3 linked regions of the Xenopus tropicalis genome follow. The main gene of each other region encodes a partner of the protein of the gene in region 3 in a complex. Links are inferred from orthologs where the notes say so. Each region holds a gene or a part of one and is shown on either strand. Other genes may lie near its edges.

Region 1 (2,702 bases), on a different chromosome or scaffold from region 3:
ATTTGTTGTTCTCGCTCTTTGCGTTCCTCTTTTTCCTTGTGCTGTTCTTTGTACTTATCATGGGAATCACCTTTGCTGTTACTCTTTTTGTGAGAGCCACGGTTTTCTTCCATGGCCCTTGAGCTCTCACTTCCCACCCTGGAAAACTTCTCAATTGTCCTGGATCTGTCATAAGGGGAATCCAAACGTTCTTGTTTGTTATGCCTGCTGTTGCCACCCTCTTCCTCTTTCCTCCTGCTTTTGTCTTTTTTTTTCTTCTTATCTAACATGAAAAAACAAAAAACTATCAATTTAGTTTAGCAGAAGAATTAAATACACAGATCAGCTGTAAACAACCAGCAGGACTATAATAATAATGGCAAATGTAAAATTGGAAATTGTAATAAAATATGATAATTTTTCCTGCTACCATCACTAGTTAATGCTGTGAATAAGGCAACAGCATGATAGGTAAAAAAAAGGCCCCAATTTGAAAGGTTAAATGTGCTTAGGTAAATTAAAATATTGTATTCTAGGATACTTCTCCTGTTTAATGAAAACATAACAGTGATTGTATTTTTTTTTGGGGGGGGGGTATAAGCAATCCATCCCTTGCTACTTGTAACGAGTTCACACTATTAGAAAACTACTGATAAAACACCTTTCTTTTTCCTTGGTGGCTCTTCGTCTTCGTCCTGTGAGGATGACACTGGGGATGGCGTTCGTGCCCCACATCCCTTTTCTCTAAGAGATTGTGTAATTTCATCAATGTCTTCTGCATCCTTGGGAGGACGATAATTGGCAACATGATCTACACGGATTGTGCGCCCCTTTACCTGAATAAACAGAATGGTATTCCCAAAGTAAGAATAACTAAAATCCACTTTTCTGGTAACAGGCAAAAAAATGTTTAGGACAAAAACACTGTTGAATAAGTGGCATGGTTGGGGAGTGGTAATATAAGGTTATCAGGTCTTCTTTGCAGGGTTTTTCTCAAATTGTAGCCAAAATCATTAAAATACAGGTAGTGAAATGTCAGGATGCTGGGAAACGGCAGCAGACCTTGAAGCTGTCCCTGTATTTTATATAAAACAATCTTTATGGGGGGGGGAAGTACCATAGGCACAGGTTACCCCAAAGAACCTGGACCACAGAAGCAAAAGCATAAGCAAGAGATGGACAATACAGAAAAAAACATGGAATAAACAATAATAGGAAGAACTCTTTCTAGTGAGCCTATTGAATGATCTTTAGGTGGCTGCTAAAAGCGAAGAAAATATTGTAAACACGAATGGAATCCCTTACATCTATGTGTATCTCTGAGTCCTCAATGATATTGTATTCTAATAAACAATAAAGAGGGACCTCACATGCATAAAAATACATAATGGGTTATGCAGTCATCTGGATAAACTTTAGCCCTATGAGTATTGTAACATGTTATTTGTTACCTTGATGCCATTAAGATTATCCACGGCCAGTACAGTGCTTCTCTGATCCTCAAAACACAAGAAGCAAAAGCCACGGGAACGGCCTGAAGATTTATCACGGACCAGATTAATATTTACCACCTCACCATACCTGAAGAATATTCAACAATTAGGACACAGCCATTGGTAAATTTAAACAAAATGTAGGAAAAACTTTTAAAATATCATAACAAATTATTTTCTCTTCTCTTAAATTTGGGAGGATAGGCACCATGCCTGCAGATGGAAAAAAAAGACACTAAAAAGTAGCTACTACTCCGCTTCCTCTAGGCTTTATCCCCAGCATGCTACCCTCAGATCTTCAGTTTCCTGGACTGAACAAGGGGAGACCCTACACAGAGTCAAATGTTTTACCTCTACCCAAAATAAAACCCAACAACAACAGTAAAACCTAAAATAGAGAACATGCCTAAAAGTATAGGCAACTAACACTGAACAAGAAACCAGAGGAATGGCCTGTTTCCCAAAACCTGATTCGTTTTAGGAAGTGACCAAATCCTATAACTTTACAAAGCATACAGTCAAATCTCAAGTCTGTAGTCAAAAAAAATCCAAATCCTGAAAGTCATGATGTTTTTTTTTTGTTCACAAATGGTGATCTTTTACAAATTTGTATATGCATATTATGATACAGTATGGTATTTGGTTTGTTGTTCTGTTGAGCCTTTTGTAAAGGATTTTGCATTTATGGATTTGATGCATCACTACTAAAATGAAACTAAGGATCTGAGGAAAGAGAGGAGACAGAGCCTAGAGCAGAAAAAGGAGTCACTTTTAATGCTTTCAGGATCTTTATCATCCCATGGTGCCTGTGACTCCAATCTAGAGAACAGAAAAGTGAACTTCTTACCATTCACGATGTCAATGCAAACATCTAGGTTTAGATGAGCCACTGCTCAAAGCAGAACAAACAGTGAAACTCTTCAGGCTCCAATCTTGGGAGACAGAGTCTGAAATCCCCCTACAATTCAGTTTGTTGATTGTCCTGTCTCAAGAAGGTGGGGCAGAGGGTGTGCCCCTGTACTTTATCATGTTATACTAGTTTGTTTAGTTCTTGTTGATTCAACAAGACATTAAATGGGCTTTCCCTAGTGCCTGGTCTAGTGCTAGTGCCTCTCTTTATATATGGCTCATACCCTATACTTACTAAACTGCAGCAAGGCCACACAAGATGAAAGCTTCTCCCAGTCAGTACCTGCTCCTCTTTAGAGCTCTGGATGTTAGCTGCACCTC
Region 2 (4,609 bases), on a different chromosome or scaffold from region 3:
CATGCTCAATCTACTTTGAGCTGCAGTAAAGCAGTTAAGCCTAGTGATTGTCACAAATCCTCAAAATATTTGAGGATATTTGAAAGTGAGTTACAATAGGCAAAAAGTATGTTCACAGCAAACCCTATACACTGAACTCAAGTTGAAAAGGAGACACTGTGTGATTAGTACTCACCTTGCAGTCTTTGATGTCAGTGCCTTGTTCTCATTTAGTTTTCTGCCTCCACTTTCTGTGTAAAGAGAGAGAAAAATCAATAACCAGAAGAATACTGTAATAATCCTTTCCCACAGAAGCCAAATGTGTTTGTTTAATTAAATAAATTAGAAATATAAGCCTCCCATCAAGTCCCCCATTTGAAACATTGTACATAATACTATAGAGAGGTTACCAGCTCCAGGACTTAGGGGCCATAGGCAAACAAATGAAATATTTTGGATTTTTTCTTTTACTTGAGCAAACATTAATTCTGACAGGGACTGTTGTGCCAAAACAAGACAAAAAAATACTGCCTATTAAAATAAACAAACAGTGGCATATTCACTAAAGAAGGCTTACGTGTGAATGGAACAATTCATCAAAAAATGAAAGTCCGCCACCCCAGTTGAAAATAAGCCTTAACCAGGTAGACCAAACAGAGCAGTTTTAGGGGTCCCTGGTGGTGCAGTTCTGGAGGAGGGAGGGAAGACTCTGGAAGTGGCCATGGCTTCAAACAGCCTCCTTTGGGTAAGCCAGTCACTGAATAAACTAAACCGACTGTTTTTCAAGCAAAAAAGTGTATTTTATACCATATTTATTTAGAAAAAAATAGCTTATCATCAATTTACAATAGGCAATAAAAATATCAGTTAATGCTTTTAATTGCATTACTCTGCTAATATTAGCTAGATACATGCAGCGATAACATTTCAGGTAAAGAGATTGTTAAAAAATGGCTAAAGATAATAACTGGTGGCACTTCATGGAGGCATTAAAGGAGAAGAAGTCATTTTGGCATTTAACTGCCAATAGGTTTGCCACATTAGTGCCACCTAGAACACTATATTTATTCTGCAGAAAGCATTGCCATACTTGAGTAAAGAGCCCTAGAAGCTTTCTCTTTTTAAGATTGCAGCTGCCATTTTAGCTTGGTCTCCATAGCTTCCTGTTTGCAGTCTAGCGTTATAGCTCAGATTACACATTCCTAAGGGAGGGGGGAGTGAGTCTTATGAATTCTTATGGGAGGGGGGAGCAGGAGAGAGGAGAGAGCTGCACTGACTCTGGTCACAGGAATGAAGGATTTTTCTGAGAGAGAAAGTCAGATACCCTAAGAACATGTTTACAAAAAAGTAGACAAGAAATCCTGTGTTTCTTTTGACAGAGGACTCAGTGCAGCGTTTCTGTGAGTGCTTATGACTGTATTTACATAGACCTTTCTGATAAAGTTTACTTAGTTTTTACCTTTCCTTCTCCTTTAACCAATGAGTTTATTCATATAAGCCTTTAGTGTACAAATGTTTTGCTTGTGTACTTATTAAGGGAAGCTGCATAGGTGGCAGAGGCACACTTTGAAGCCTTTAATAACACAGCACAACAGGTTCAGCCCTTAAATGTCACCATATATTTTACAAAAAAAATAAATATTAAAGTCTGCCTTTATATAAACAATATCTGGCCTTTATAATAGGATCAAAGTTCTGCCTCTGAAAGACTGGGAAGAGCAAGAAGTGCTAGTGGATTGATACACAATAATGCAAATCCGATTAAATGGCACCACAACTTACCAGTGGTATTCCTGGCACCGGATTTCCATGTGTCTGGAGTGATAACTGTGCCCAGTTTCTTCTCACCTGTCATTAAATACACGTCATTAGTTAATGCTGCTCCTGCACACACATATCCCTATCTACGTCCTTAAAGGAATACTGTCATGGGAAAACACGTTTTTTTCAAAACCCATCAGTTAATAGAGCTTCTGCAGCAGAATCCTGCATTGTAATCTGTTTTTCAAATATACAAACAGATTTTTTTTATATTTAATTTTGAAATTTCACATGGGGCTAGCCATATTCTTCATTTCCCAGGGTGCCACAGCCATGTAACCTGTGCTCTGATAAACTTCAATCACAATTTACTGCTGCGCTGCAAGTTGGAGTGATATCCCCCGCCCCCTCCCAGCAGCCGATCAGCAGAACAATGGGAAGGGAGCAAGATAGCAGCTCCCAGTAGGTATCAGAATAGCACTCAATAGTAAGAAATCCAAGTCCGGCTTGGGACTCCTCCAGTTACATGGGAGTAGGAGAAACAATAGGTTAGCTGAAAGCAGTTCTAATGTGTAGCGCTGGCTGAAAGCTCAGACTCAGGCACAAGGCACTGAGATGGCGCCTACACACCAATATTACAGCTACAAATACATTTGTTGGTTCAAGAATAACATTTTAAATGGCAGAGTGAATTATTTGCTATGTAAACAGTGTAATTTAGAAATAAAAAGTATACCACATAAGTCATGACATTATCCCTTTAAAAACAACAGTAATTACATTCTCCCATACAGGTATCCAAAAACGTCAATGAGATAATCAGAATATATAGTGACAATGAGCAATACAGTCAGGGAGAATAGTAATAGCCGGCAGCACAGTAAGTATATTACTACGTATTGCGAACAGCGGATAAACCAGAGCTACAGCTATGTCTGCTTTATTTATTACTAACAGTAGGCACCCCTAGCAACCAACCAGCCATTGGCTTTGCTCAGCCAGTTGCGCAGACGAATGTGAAGGATAATATAAACAGGACGCCATGGTTTACAGCTGCTCGGCAAATGTATCCAATGGCAGGTGTAAGCGTTACCCACATAACACGGCTCTATGGGAGCTGCCCGGTACCAGGAAATACACCCAGCGAGATTAAACCCGGTTTGTTACTTACACTTATCGCACACCATGTCCCACTCCGGTCACACCAACAATCACACGGCTCTTGTCAACAAAGTTCCTTAGGAACGTCACTTCCGGATCTCGTCACCACCAATGGAAACCGCTCCGGAACGTCAACGTCAGTTGGCGGAAGCCGCCGCCTGATTGGCTTATGTGACTGTCTATCAAACACAGCTTCTGCTCCTTTTCAGGTGAGGGAGGAGGAACCAGAACCAGAAGTGGTGCAGGGTCAATGAGCGCACAGGTGAGTATTGGGAGACACAGCGGGACTTCCCTTCTACCCTTATATATATATATATATATATATATAGCTCAGTCTGTGGGAGTTTTGGTGCTGTTGAGCTACAGCTGCTTCCTTCCATTGGTGTGTTTGCATAAGCTCCTAGGGGGAGTGATGGGAGTTGTAGTAAAGACAATTAGCAACATGGGGTGTTCAGCCTGAAGGCCAGTTAGGGGAGATTGCCCATTACATACACAGCCCAGCCTGAAGGGCCAGTTAGGGGAGATTGCCCATTCTGTGGCTACATACACAGCCCAGCCTGAAGGCCAGTTAGGGGAGATTGCCCATTCTGTGGCTACATACACAGGGCAGCCTGAAGGCCAGTTAGGGGAGATTGCCCATTCTGTGGCTACATACACAGGGCAGCCTGAAGGCCAGTTAGGGGAGATTGCCCATTCTGTGGCTACATACACAGGCCAGCCTGAAGGCCAGTTAGGGGAGATTGCCCATTCTGTGGCTACATACACAGCCCAGCCTGAAGGCCAGTTAGGGGAGATTGCCCATTCTGTGGCTACATACACAGGGCAGCCCAGCCTGAAGGCCAGTTAGGGGAGATTGCCCATTCTGTGGCTACATACACAGCCCAGCCTGAAGGCCAGTTAGGGGAGATTGCCCATTCTGTGGCTACATACACAGCCCAGCCTGAAGGCCAGTTAGGGGAGATTGCCCATTCTGTGGCTACATACACAGCCCAGCCTGAAGGCCAGTTAGGGGAGATTGCCCATTCTGTGGCTACATACACAGGGCAGCCCAGCCTGAAGGCCAGTCAGGGGAGATTGCCCATTCTGTGGCTACATACACAGCCCAGCCTGAAGGCCAGTTAGGGGAGATTGCCCATTCTGTGGCTACATACACAGCCCAGCCTGAAGGCCAGTTAGGGGAGATTGCCCATTCTGTGGCTACATACACAGCCCAGCCTGAAGGCCAGTTAGGGGAGATTGCCCATTCTGTGGCTACATACACAGGGCAGCCCAGCCTGCAGGCCAGTTAGGGGAGATTGCCCATTCTGTGGCTACATACACAGCCCAGCCTGAAGGCCAGTTAGGGGAGATTGCCCATTCTGTGGCTACATACACAGGGCAGCCCAGCCTGAAGGCCAGTTAGGGGAGATTGCCCATTCTGTGGCTACATACACAGGGCAGCCTGAAGGCCAGTTAGGGGAGATTGCATAGGCGGAGGGTGACTTTTTTGTTTGGGGAGGCTAAATATGGGCCATACATAGACTGACATAAAGCTAATGTGAGACTTAGTGGATTCGCTGCTGGTGTAAATAATGAACCTCCCAACTACCTCTTGTGGTTCCCACTGACTCCCAGGGATACTGCGCAAAAGTGCGGGTGGAGTGCGAGTGTTTTTTTAACCCTAAAATGCTTAGGATGTAAAAGTATTCATACAGGCACTTCTGTGAGG
Region 3 (4,653 bases):
CCCTTTTACAGCCTTTCCCTTGAGCCGCCATTTAGTGATGGGCTGTGTGCCCCCTCAGAGATCAGCTGACAGGAAGTGATGCAGCTCTAACTGTAACAGGAAGTAGTGTGGGAGCAAAAGGCAGAACTCTGTCCATTCATTGGCTGATGGGGCCTAGCATGTATGTGTGCCTTGGCTTGTTTGCAGTGTCGGACTGGGACCCCAGGGGCCCACTAGAAAACCTTAGACCATGGGCCCACTCTCCAAATTAATTTTCCTCCTTTCCTCACTAAAACCACTTTATTCTCCTAGTCTGTTTTATTTACATGCTAGCATCTATTCTTCCATCTATTTCTTCTCTTTGTTCCCATTCAGAAATAGGGAATGACCATGAATAGGCCAAATGGTGAGGAGCAGGAGGGCCCACTGACCCCTGGGCCCACCGGGAGTTTTCCTGGTATCCTGGTGGGCCAGTCCGACTCTGTTTGTGTGCACTGTGAATCCCAGGGGGATAAAAGTGAGTTATAAAATACCCTATATTTAGCATCTGTGCCACTGGTCTTTTTTTTTACTTATTTTTAAATTATTTGCTGCCTTTTTCTGCCTCTCTATGCTTTCAGGCAGTCAGCCAGCCAAAAAACTATTGCTCTGAGAGGCTATTGTTATTCAGTACCATATCTCACGTGGTTGCTAGTTTAAATATGACCCTAGCAACCAGATAGTTGCAGAAATACCAAACTAGAGACGTGTTAACATCCCAATTCCTTATGCACATGATTTATAGCCATTTTACCCCTATATACATGTGTGGCGATATAAAGAGTAGAAGGCCATTGCATATTTATATTTGGGCTGCTTTTTACCCCCAGTCTGGCCCTGCAGCTTGGTGTTTCCATTTAACGTTCAATTTTCAGTGCGGCTTGGGCAGCATGCCACCCTAAGGGCTCTGGCACACGGGGAGATTAGTCGCCCGCGGCAAAACTCCCTGTTCGTGGGCAACTAATCTCCCCGAGTTGCCTTCCCCTGCCATCCCACCGGCGAACATGTAAGTCGCGGGTGGGATGGCACACGCGGCGGCGCGATTTCACGCAAATCGCCGAAGTTGCCTTGCGAGGCTTTTTCAGCGATTTGCGCTAAATCGCGCTGCCGCGTGTGCCATCCCACCGGCCACTTACATTTTCGCCAGTGGGATGGCAGGGGAAGGCAACTCGGGGAGATTAGTTGCCCACGAACAGGGAGTTTTGTCGCGGGTGACTAATCTCCCCGTGTGCCAGAGCCCTTAATCTGTTCCGCCCCGGGCCTGGGCCTTTGTTGCCTGGGTGTCACGTGTTTTCTATTGAAACGAGTGTCTGGAGGGGCGGGGTCAGACGGTATTGCGCCAATACGGCCCGTGGGCCATAGTTGTAAGAATTGTGTGAGCAGCAGATAAGTACCACAGTCTTCATTTTTTTATCCTCTGAGGTTTTTGCCACTTTAGCACTTCTACACTTTCCAATTTCCTGCTACCAAGTTGCCAACCTGAAGAGTGAGTAGGAGAGGGTCTGAAGAGAAAAATACATCATAAATATATAAATCTCAATACAAAAGTATACTCATAGCATGACATTTTGTTTATTTCTATTGTTCCCACCCTCACACTTACCCGGGTAATTCTGCCCCTAACGCTACAGTTCCGCCTCAGCGCTTTGCGCCTCCCTCACGCTTCCCGCCCGGAAGTAGGACGAGAACTGGCACCCGACTTGAGGCTTCTGCCAGTACGGTGACATCACTTCCGCCCACCCGGAAGCGCAGGTACTGCGGGCTGATAGAGAGCGGGGATGGGTGACGGGGAGTCGGAGCGGTTTCAGTACCTGCAGACGTTGGTCACTGAGTTCCAGGACACGGACAGTGTCGGTAAGGGAGAGAGAGGGGGAGATTTAACCCCATTCAGTTTCGTTACGGTTGTAGTTTTGTACCAACTCTCCGCATCATTTCCTCTTCTCATTAGTTTCTCCCCTTAATTGCTCAGAAGCCAAAGAGCAGGTCCTGGCCAATCTGGCCAACTTCGCCTACGATCCCCGGAACTTTTCCGACCTGCGGAAGCTACAGGTGCTGGACCTGTTCCTGGATATGCTGACTGAGGGCAATGAGAACCTGGTGGAGTTTGGCCTGGGTGAGAGAATGTACTGAAGTGCTGAGCCCACAATGTGCCCCCATGTGTGGCAGGAGGGTCACAATATAATGCAATATAATCTCAGCTCCCACCAGCATCCTCCCCCCAGCATCCTCCCACCAGCATCCTCCAGCTCCCCCCAGCATCCTCCTCAGCATCCTCCCACCAGCTCCCCCCAGCATCCTATCCCAGCATCCTCCCACCAGCTCCCCCCCAGCATCCTTCAACTCCCCCCAGCATCTTCCTCAACATCCTCCCACCAGCATCCTCCAGCTCCCCCCAGCGTCCTTGCCAGCATCCTCCAAGCTCAGGGGACACATTGACTTGATGGAGGCCCTGAGTGTAACGCTGGCCCGAAATCACAGGCCTCTCAGCTCCCCCCAGCATCTTCCCACCAGCATCCTCCAGCTCCCCCCAGCATCCTATCCCAGCATCCTCCTCAGCATCCTCCCACCAGCTCCCCTCCAGCATCCTTCCCAGCATCCTCCAGCTCCCCCAGCGTCCTTCCCAGCATCCTGCTCAACATCCTCCCACCAGCTCCCCCCCAGCATCCTTCAGCTCCCCTCAGCATCCTTCAACTCCCCCCAGCATCTTCCTCAACATCCTCCCACCAGCATCCTCCAGCTCCCCCCAGTGTCCTTCCCAGCATCCTCCTCAACATCCTCCCACCAGCTCCCCCCCAGCATTCTTCAACTCCCACCAGCATCTTCCTCAACATCCTCCCACCAGCATCCTCCAGCTCCCCCCAGCGTCCCTACCCAGCATCCTCCCACCAGCTCCCCCCAAGCATCCTCCCACCAGCCCCCCTCCAGCATCCTCCCACCAGCTCCCCCCCAGCATCCTTCTCAGCATCCTCCTAAACATCCTCCCCCCCCCCCCAGCGACCTACAGCGACCAATCAGGAGTCAGCGGACCGGATTAAAAAGGCCAATGGGCCAGACATGGCTTGCAGGCCGTAGTTTGCCCACCCCTGATATAATGACTCCGCCCCAATCTCCAGTTGATGGACAGTATAGTGAAAGTGGCTATAGGTGGGCAGTGGGTAGATGCTTAAATTTTCTGCTTGATGACAGTGGGACGGACCATTGAAAAAAAGCCAGTGTCAGACTGGGGGCCCCTCACTGAGGGTGGAGGGCCGATGTTGCTGGCAGGGATCAGGCCTGGGTTGGTGGGGCCCACTGGGATTTTTCTCATTGTCCCAGTCTGTCCCTGGGAAAAGCCCAATATGCAACCTGGCACTGGAGGGGGGGGTGGCAGAATCAGTAGGTTTTATCAGCCCATCTATGGCCACCGTGTACCACCCCCCCCAACCCCTCGCCTGTCATTGGTCTCTGACAAACACGGCTCTGGTATATTTATCGTTTTCACTACAAACTTCTGTGCGATCCTTTTATACCCAGATAAACATCCTGTGTTGCGAATATAAACATTGGGTGCAGTGAAAGCCCAGTTATCTTGTATTAACCACTTCCAGCAGGACGGAAGGATATTGTAGGTTTGGGCAATATGTTTTTTTCCATCTTTCCTATGGGATCCCCCCCCCCCCTAAAAAACATGTCCTCAATTTCAATTGTGATCAAACCCCCTGTAGGTCATAATGTCTTTGAAATTGTTAGTTTGCCTTTAACCATTCTCTCTTTTCCAATAGGGGGTCTCTGTAATCTCTGCCTGGACAAGACTAACAAGAGTCACATACTAGACTCCGGGGGGCTGAAATTGGTCATCAATTGCCTGTCCAGCCGTCGGGAAGAGACGGTGCTTTCGGCGCTGACCACACTCATGTTCCTGTGCACGGCCGCCTCCCGCACTGAAGTGACGGCTCCTGCTGTGGTGGAGTGCATGGTGCGCTTCTCCCTTTCCACCAACCGCAGGATCAGCAATTTGGCCACCATCTTCCTGCAGGATTACTGCAGCGATAAGCAAGTGCAAGAAGCCAAAGAACTGAGCCAACATTCGGCATTGGGAATCCCGCTCCCTGAATCCACGCAGCACCCCATCTGACTCCCGTGTCGGACATTTGCACCCTACTAGAAACAGATGCAGCATGGCTGTTCTCGGAGTGTGACAAACTCTGTGTTTGAAGTGCTGGTCACTTTCATGATCATGAAACAAGTTTGGGAGACAAGTGCAAGCCTTGCCGGACTGCAGTCCCCTGCAAGATACTGTTCCGTGATTCAGTTATGGACTGACCCCATGGTCCCTCGTGTATTTATTTCTACTGTATTAAAATCATTAAAGAGGAAAAGCACTCGGTGCTGCTATCTACACTGCTATCCACTCTTCGTGAGTGGCCAATGGTTGGCGAGATTGTACAGTTGTGTTTCTTAGCTCTCCCCAGCAAAGCTTCATGGGTTATTCAGGGTCCATGAAAGGGGTGGGGGAACCTTATGGTAGGGGGTGACACTTGGGTGGATCATGGGGAGAGTTTTAATATAATTGCAGTGGATTAGGGATGTGGCTATGCATGTGAGGGGATTCATTTTACCTGTTTACAAGGCCTGGAAGCACAAGAGACTGGTGAG

Evidence for each region. Proteins that work in one complex are often made in the same cells at the same time.
Region 1: armc7 (region 3) and rbmx2 share a complex: the UniProt entries of both Homo sapiens proteins name them as parts of the minor spliceosome. The link is inferred for Xenopus tropicalis from reciprocal best matches to the Homo sapiens genes ARMC7 and RBMX2.
Region 2: armc7 (region 3) and cript share a complex: the UniProt entries of both Homo sapiens proteins name them as parts of the minor spliceosome. The link is inferred for Xenopus tropicalis from reciprocal best matches to the Homo sapiens genes ARMC7 and CRIPT.

The regions. Positions count from the first base shown.
Region 1 is NC_030684.2:38,934,881-38,937,582, forward strand, and holds part of rbmx2 (RNA-binding motif protein, X-linked 2), read right to left. Parts: intron 1,561-2,702; coding exon 1,431-1,560; intron 816-1,430; coding exon 641-815; intron 263-640; coding exon 1-262. UniProt on the Homo sapiens protein: Involved in pre-mRNA splicing as component of the activated spliceosome. As a component of the minor spliceosome, involved in the splicing of U12-type introns in pre-mRNAs.
Region 2 is NC_030681.2:19,971,758-19,976,366, reverse strand, and holds the start of cript (cysteine-rich PDZ-binding protein), read right to left. Parts: upstream 2,930-4,609; 5' UTR 2,928-2,929; coding exon 2,912-2,927; intron 1,828-2,911; coding exon 1,762-1,827; intron 231-1,761; coding exon 176-230; intron 1-175. UniProt on the Homo sapiens protein: As a component of the minor spliceosome, involved in the splicing of U12-type introns in pre-mRNAs. Involved in the cytoskeletal anchoring of DLG4 in excitatory synapses.
Region 3 is NC_030686.2:44,365,837-44,370,489, forward strand, and holds the start of armc7 (armadillo repeat-containing protein 7), read left to right. Parts: upstream 1-1,724; 5' UTR 1,725-1,796; coding exon 1,797-1,872; intron 1,873-1,876; exon of another isoform or gene 1,877-1,966; coding exon 1,967-2,131; intron 2,132-3,779; coding exon 3,780-4,132; 3' UTR 4,133-4,653. UniProt on the Homo sapiens protein: As a component of the minor spliceosome, involved in the splicing of U12-type introns in pre-mRNAs.